2 linked regions of the Nothobranchius furzeri genome follow. The protein of the gene in region 1 purifies or fractionates together with the protein of each later gene. This does not show direct contact. Links are inferred from orthologs where the notes say so. Each region holds a gene or a part of one and is shown on either strand. Other genes may lie near its edges.

The links.
Region 2: the proteins of fbxo22 (region 1) and kdm4b purify together in Homo sapiens (affinity purification with western blotting; 3 studies listed by BioGRID, with this or other methods). This does not show direct contact. The link is inferred for Nothobranchius furzeri from reciprocal best matches to the Homo sapiens genes FBXO22 and KDM4B.

Annotation. Positions count from the first base shown.
Region 1 is NC_091749.1:67,399,973-67,404,358, forward strand, and holds the start of fbxo22 (F-box only protein 22), read right to left. Parts: upstream 2,924-4,386; 5' UTR 2,478-2,923; coding exon 2,347-2,477; intron 2,142-2,346; coding exon 2,009-2,141; intron 1,099-2,008; coding exon 1,011-1,098; intron 1-1,010. UniProt on the Homo sapiens protein: Substrate-recognition component of the SCF (SKP1-CUL1-F-box protein)-type E3 ubiquitin ligase complex that is implicated in the control of various cellular processes such as cell cycle control, transcriptional regulation, DNA damage repair, and apoptosis.
Region 2 is NC_091748.1:64,721,192-64,725,013, forward strand, and holds part of kdm4b (lysine-specific demethylase 4B), read right to left. Parts: intron 2,956-3,822; 5' UTR 2,929-2,955; coding exon 2,518-2,928; intron 1,935-2,517; coding exon 1,759-1,934; intron 1-1,758. UniProt on the Homo sapiens protein: Histone demethylase that specifically demethylates 'Lys-9' of histone H3, thereby playing a role in histone code. Does not demethylate histone H3 'Lys-4', H3 'Lys-27', H3 'Lys-36' nor H4 'Lys-20'.

The sequences.
Region 1 (4,386 bases):
AAATCTGTATTATAAATCACTGCTTTTTTTGTGTGGTAGAAGTATCGGTATCGGCGAGTACTCAGATCCAAGTATCGTATCGGTTTAGAAAAAAGTGGTGTCGTTGCCTCCCTAAATATTTTATGTCAAAATTAAGCAACGTCTCCATGAAATTAGCTTCAGTAGGACATCAAATGTCTCCTAAACTTATGTTTAAGCCCAAAAACGACTCCAAACAGCTCTGACTCAAACAGCTTCCCCAACAACAAGGCCAATATGGGCTGGGGTTAAAATTCTGTCTTCTCTCCCTAAGCTGGATCTAAAATGACAACAATATCACAAATGTCTACATAAAGAGTTGGAAGAAAATACAAAAAATCCAACTATTATTACCTTTTTTTATTCTAAAACTGCTGTATTCTCCGTCCACGTGTTACAGTAAATAATGACTGATGGATCAATCTGCCCAGTTTTGATTTAGTTCCCTTAAAGAGTGCCTGCTCACAACATAAGTCATCTCCAAGTGGCAGGTTCAGGCAACATGGCTGCAGAACATTCAGTGAAGTTAGAATATTGGGTTAATTAAAAAATTCTAATTTGTCAAATAAAGAAACCAAGAGATTGTGTTCAATCTTCACTTCAATGCAACCCCCCCCCCCCCCCATTCTGAGCAACCGCAGCACGAGGGCAACAGTGGACAGGAAAACCTTTTAACAGGAAAAGAACTGCCTCAGCTAAACTCATCAGCTCAAATTACAGCATCCGCTAACGGAAAAGGTTTCCGAGCTTAGCAAAGCTAATAACGCAAATAACAAAATCGTGATGTGAAGCATGGGTTACCACCAGAGGAAATACACACTTTGGTGTCATTTGTGGATTTTAAACTTTACGGAGTCATTACCGGGAAAGGATTCTCTACTAATGAGTGTTTTTTTAACAACTGGTTTTTTTTGTTTTTTTACGTGACAACTGTCATAATAAAAGCCTTCTCCATAAACACGTGTCTGGTGAACAAAGTAAATGATACTAACCTTTGCTCTGTGAATAGCTATAAGCTAGCCCATTGAAGGACTCGCTGTCTGCCATCATCAAAACTGTTTTAGGCAGGAGGAATACTTTCTGTAAACAATCAGAAGCAAACAGCACAAAATAAAATATTGTTTGTTGTTTCAGGCAGTTGGAAATTTGCAGATTTTGTGCGTTTCGTGTATTTCCTCCATGTAGTTTCCCCTTTTTATTGTCACTTCTCGTTTTCTGTGATTGCCCTACCAAAGTAGCCTAATGAACTAGACCAAATTCTCGTTTTGCAAAGTTTGGTCTAGGCATGCTCCATTGGAACCTCCGCAGCTCCTACCAGGACTCTGGCTAGCCAATCACAGCTCTCTAGAGGGGTTTCAAACACATAAAGAGCTGTGATTGGTCCATAATGGTGGGCCAATCAAAGTGCTCTATCTGCTTAGTGAACAAATCACAGAGCTTTATCCGCTTTGTGGGCCAATCAGGGCACTCTATGGGCCATTCCCATCTGTACCGGGTCGGCCCGGGCCGGGTAGCCCCAGTCGGCCCCAGCTTGGCCCGGTTGATTCCACACATCCTTGTCTTATGCCCATGTGGGCTGATTCTACCCACCAATCAGAGGCTTGCTCTAATGGAAGGTGTGAATTTGCTGTCAGCAGTGGGTGTGTTGGCCCTGGTCGGCCTGAAGCAGACCCCCTCGAGAAGAGGGCTGAGAATGAGCCTTGGTTGGCCCGGAAAAATACCAGGCCACCCAGATATGTAAACAACCTACGCTACCCGGCCCGGGTCGTACAGATGGGAATGGCCCATTAATGCCTGGTGGGTGGGATGATGCAACAGAGTGAAACAAGAGTATGTCACATTCATTGTCCAGTGGAATGCGGAGATAATTTGAAAGACAACGGTAGAACCCGCCCCACAGCTAAGAGCCGTCAATGGAGGGTGGCCAGAATACATTTATTTAGTCTGGCTTCCCAGGCTACTACCAAAGGTCACTGGAGGTGAAATTTACCTCCACTTCTTCAGCCAGGACGTTGCAGAGAGTATGAACGTCTGTGGTGGAGGGTCCACGCGCTGAAGCCCATGCCAGCTGCTGCTGGGTCCGGAGCACCCTGCGCGCGCAGTTCCTCCACAATCTGCACACACTGACAAAAACAAAACAAAGATGTTCAAAACAAAACAGGAAGTTAGCTTGTCTGCTAAAACACAATTTCAGTAATCGCGCCAAACTTCCAATAAAAATACACCTACCGCTTTAGCTTCACGTTTGTCTAATAATTTTAAAGAACCATAATGACTTTTAATAAGCTAACATAAAGGATAACCAACAGTTTAGCATGTAAACATTACCTCTCGATTCGTAGAAGCGATTTGGTCGGTACGAACGTAAGAATCCTTTCAACCACTTCGGCGACATTACTGAGAACATAAGCTGCCTTACTATCCTGTGAAAAATCGCCTAACTCTTGAATTTCACTCATATTTCTTTCAGATGGAGCGTCTTTAAGCCACAACTGAACAGAAACGAACTTTAACGTCACTTCCTACGCTGCGACGACGAAAGTGGCGGTGCTGCCCCAAGCGGACGGGAGGGGTAATGCAGGCGCTATATTTTATAGTAAATAAATGTCTCAACGGGTGTAAACGTAAATAAATCACATTCGTCTCTTCACACCACATACAGCTCGCTCTCCCTCTGGTTTTATTGCCATGTGTGCGAGAAATCACAACATTAGGAAATTGCTGCAGTTCTTGGTGCAAAAAGAAAGATTCAAAAATAAGAGAAGTAAATATAGGAAATAAGAATATGATCATGATAAAATAATATAAAGTGGCAATAATTAGAGAAACGGCTACTATATAGGTACTGATCAGCTCGGAACAGCTCAGGTACAAAACACAACAGGGTCAAGTGACTGAAACCAAGCCACCGGAGTGTTCATGAGTCCAACAGCAGAGAAGAAGAAACTGTTATTGTGGCGAGAGGTTCTGATCTGAATGGATCTGAGCCTCCTGCCCGATGGGAGCGAGTCAAAAAGACTGTCCACTGGGAACCGGTGCTGATGGTCTGCAGGTCCGAGAGCTTCCCGAGCCTGACTTGTTGCTTCCTGTCTTTCAGGAAGTCAGTGATCCACCTGCAGATGTGGTCAGGCACCTTCATCTGGGACAGTTTGTCTTGGAGGAGGTCTGGCAGGATTGTGTTGAAAGCAGAGATGAAGTCCACCAACAGGATCCTGGTGTAGGTACCCGGATAGTCCAGATGATGCAGGATGTAGTGTAGAGCCATGTTGATGGCATCATCTACAGACCTGTTGGCTCAGTAGGAAAACTGCAGGAGGTCCAGGAGGGGGTCTGTGAGGGTCTTGAGGTGGGGAAGAACCAGGTGCTCAAATGACTTCATGACCTCTCTCTCTCTCCATCCCACTCTCATTTCCCACTGTAAACACAGACCCCATCACCACACACACACACACACACACACACACACACCAGGGGGTCTGGGGTTCTCGTACTTGTGCAGTGATGTTGGAGGGCTTGATGAACACACTCCAGGAGATGATTGTTTGGTCAGGGCCTGGCAGACGTTTTGCCCTGCACAACTGGAGCTCTGCACTGACTCTATGCGTGTGCGTGCGTGCATGTGTGTGTGTGTGTGTGCGTACACCAGAATTTACTCTATGTAAATGTGGGATCATTTTATTAGTTTGTTTTTGCATTCATTCCGTTTCTTTAAACCATTTAGTGAGGCCTGTGATAAATATTTATGTTTTATTTACTGTATTAAAACTCAAAGAAATCTAACCTCAACGAGGCCATACATAATTTGTGCCTTAAATATGTTTTGTTTCATAGTTTAAATATTTAATTATTGATGAATTGTGATTTAGTACAAATTCTCTCTCTCTCACACACACACTTAAAGCTCTTCTCAAAATAATGCTAACAAATTTATATTTTAAACAAAGTGTATAAATCAGAAACCTTTTACACGCTCACTTTGTTTCAGTGACAAAACCTTTAATTTGAGGTTAAAATATACAAGCTTAGGCTTCATTATCGTTTATTTTTTACAGTACATAATAAAATAAAAGAATGTTTTAAATTGTGAAATGTACCTTTAATAATTTAGTTTCTAAATTATGGTAAATAACTAACCTATTTTTTTAATGTAAAACCTTTACTGCTTTTAAAACGGCCACTTCCTCCACACATTTAATGGCAGATAATAACTTTCTTCATGCCTTCTCCAGCGGCTGCCAGTGGTTAATGCTTCTGTTTAGCTTTCGTTTTTTTCCTCGAAGATAAAACAGATTGGGATAAGCCGCTAGGCTAGTACATTTACTGGCACCACTTGGGCTCACACCAGTCAAACGACCCCGGCACCACAGA
Region 2 (3,822 bases), on another chromosome or scaffold:
TGGTAGCAACACGTCGGACTTAAAATGTGCTAAAAATAGCAGTTTTTACACAACACGTCGGACTTTCTATTGTGTTATTGATGTCCGTTGTCCCTCGGGGTTTCTGCAGGAGGACACGGGTATTTATGAGTGGCGGAGGAAAACGAAAGAAAGTAAATAAATGTTTTGTGATCAGTATAATTTGAGAAAACCACAGCAAACATGCTTTTGGCAATCCTTGTTAGTGTGAGAAAAAAAGTGTAGAAATTAAAACGGACGTATGTTAATAGGGAAACAGCCGGCGAGCTGTTTGCGCCGTGAGCGGTTCTGTTTCTGTTTGGGCCGCAGCCGCTCGCAGCGCTACTTCAACAGTTATCCTCCTAGTTTTTGTCTGGCTTGCAGGCTAGCAGATTCTCACACGAGGGGAAAATCGGCTCAGGTTGTTTACTTATTTTTTGCACAGGCATTTGTTTACTGTGAAGTAAAGTTGAAGTGCTGAAGTTATGCAAACTAATTTTGAATAAAACTTGAAGAATAACTGGCAATTGCTTGCTCATTTTAAGAGGTCTTTCATAATTATAACATGCTATTTGATATCAAATCACTTTTATTGTCACGTCACATGTGCAGGTACACTGGTACAGTACATGCGAGTGAAATTCTTGTGTGCGAGCTTCACAGCAACAGAGTTGTGCAAAAATACGGTAATGTAAAAACAAGTAAAATATAAAAATGGCTAATCTAAGTATACAAATGAATAAAGTAAACAATAAGATAAGAGATATAAAATGTACAGAGGTTGGTATGTGCAAAACAGTGGCATTAATGTACAGTATGGAGTGTGTAATGTTGGAACTTGGTGGAGCTCGCGACGAGGCAGCCATACTCGACGCCATCTTGGCTCATCAATATATGATATAATGGTTTACAAACACAAAAGGGTAATTTATTAGAGTACTCGATTAATCGAAAAAAAGATTCGATAGAGTACTCGATTACAAAAATATTCGATAGCTGCAGCCCTAAAAGCAACTTTTAGACTTTCAAACTCGGTCTTAACTTGTGATTTGCAAGTAGGGTTGTGATTGTTTTGTTTTAATTTAAAGAAAAGTCATTTCTCTTCACTCCAAAGGAAATAAATCTGTTATGTATTGCTGACTTAACAAAAGAAACTGAATATTCAAACACAAAGAAGTAAACATACAAGACTGTGCTAAAGTTTTAGGCGGGTGTGGAAAAAAATGCTGTGAACAAAGAACGCTTTCAGAAATATAAATGATTGTTCATTTTTATCAATTTGCAAAACACAAAGTGAGTGACCCCAAACATCAGGCTAAACTCATTAGGATCCATCTCCAGTTTAAAGAAGAAGTCCTGGAAGTGATGGTGTGGCCCCCACAAAGCCCTGATCTCAACATCGTGAAGTTTCTGAGATTACATGAAGACAGAAGGATGTGAGGAAGCCTACATCCACTGTGGTTGGTTCTCCAAGATGTCTGGAACAACCTACCAGCCCAGTTCCTTCAACAGCTGTGTGCAAGTGTAGCTAGAAGATCTGATGCTGTTTTGAAGGCTCACACCAGATATTGATTTAATTTAGATTTCTCTTTTGTTCATTCACTGTTTTTGTTGATTGGTGAAAACAAATAATCAACACTTCCATTTTTCTAAGCATTGCCTGTTTACAGCAGTTTTTCCACACCTGCCTAAAACTTTTGCACAGTTCAGTGTTTAAGATAAAATGTATGAATAAAGCTGAAGGACTAGAGGCCAACTTACTTCTTGCTGTTGGCCAGCTTGCGGAATTCACCAACAGTCATGGATTTCTTCTGAATGTTGTACTGGGTAAACAGGCCTGACTGACCAGTCACCACCTGACTGATGGGTGCTGGGATCACCATGTCCTCGATGGTGTCGTAGCACTTGCGTGGTTTCCAGCCCTCGGGAGGAATCACCTGAACAAAGAAAGGTTTGGTCATGTTAATTTGCAGATAAATAGGCTAATGCTCTAGATTCCTTATAGGGTAGGAAAGGAATGACAAGACTACAGCAAGTTTTATTAGGAGTGGTTCACTCATTTCATCGATACATTTGCAGTTGTTTCTATAGGAATGAAAGCCTTGTAAGTGTGTGTGTGTGTGTGTGTGTGTGTTGGGGGGGGGGGGGGGGGTTCAGATGTGCCTGTTTCAGCATGGAGCATTCAGCTAGAGGAAAAATTAGCTAGTTCAGATGACAGGATTATTTATCTTATCTCCTGATATTTTGACATCTCGCCTCTGATTGGCCAACAGCAAGATGACTCTACCACCGACTCAGTTTTCTTTGCAACATTAATGCTTTATTAAAAACAAGCCCAAAGGAGTTCTGCTGTGTGGTGGAGATGCTAATGCTAACTGCTAGCCTCTATTAGTCGAGATGTTCTCTGCTGTTTGCTGACCGATTATAATCACAAATTATAATTCATAATTTGTTTTGGAGTGAAACACACCTGAATGTGTAGGTGGGGGTTATGTTATGTGCATATAGGTGTTGTAATACCTTAGCCAGGCCAGCACGATGAGCTCCTTGACTCTCCATGTAGACAATATATTTTGCAAAGTCCTTAAACTCCTCCATGGTGGGCCGGAAGGTCATGATCTTACAGCTTGGGTTCTTGGCAGCATTTGGAGGCAACGGTGCTGGCAGAGGAACCTGGGATGGCTCAGAACCAGGGACAGGAACTGATGTCGCTCCCGGGTCTATGGGCGGAACCGGGGGGGAATGTGGACTAACATTTTGTTCTGAAGTCACAACATCAGGAGTTTCAGTGATTGCTGGCTCCTGGGTAGGACTCTGGTCTTGGGCTGCAGCGGAGTCCAGAGCAGGAGGAGAGGCTGGGGCCGGATCGGAGGCTGAGGATGGGGCAGGGTTTGGGGCCGACTCCATGTCCGTGGGCATGTCAGTAGCCATTGGAAGCTTGAAGGTTTGCAGGTAAATCTGTCAAGTACAACACTGGTGGTTAAAGACAGTTTAATTTATTTGAGTTTTCTCTACTCTCAAAAACAAACACAGAAAACGGAAATGACGACAACCAAACAGGTTCCAAAGGCTCAAAACTGTATGCAAAAGGGATGCACTAAGCTCAATGTGATCACTAAAAAACTTTCAAAGTATAATCTAATGTTAGGAGCTTTTACATTTTTATCATAAATTAGTATTAACATAGTTTTATGCTTGACTGGATTATCTCGTGTGCAAATTAAGTACTGTGATTAATTTGTGTCGCTGCGTGATTGCTTAGCATGAGGATATCTGTAAAGCCAATAACACGAGTCAGTGACTCAATGCAATCTGCTGGGTTATAAGAAACTTTAATTGTGAAAATGAACTGAACTCAATGCAATAATTAGGTCCGATGGAAATATTTACTTTCCTAAATTTTCAACTTTTACAGAATAAGTTAAAATCACTGATGTTTATTTTTATTCTTCTTTGCTCCTCTTGTGAAATGTACACAATCCTGTCAACCTGCTTCGCTGTAATGACACCAAAATTTTCCCAATGAGGGACAATAAAAGAATTTTCTAATCTATTCTAATCTACTCTGTATACATTGTTAAAGCTAAAACCTGGAGTTTTCCCCCTTTTAGGAATTAGGTATGATTTTTAGAATGCGCGAGTCTAACCCTGTAATAGGCTTGAACGATTTTGGGAAAATATTGAACTGCCATTTTTCTAGGAGAAATTGCAACTTCAATTTGATTCCCAATTTTCTTCAAATTAAGGTTCAAAACATTATTCACAATATAGTGGTATAAATCATACCATATAAACATTAAAGCCACACGCTTTTCCACTTATTAT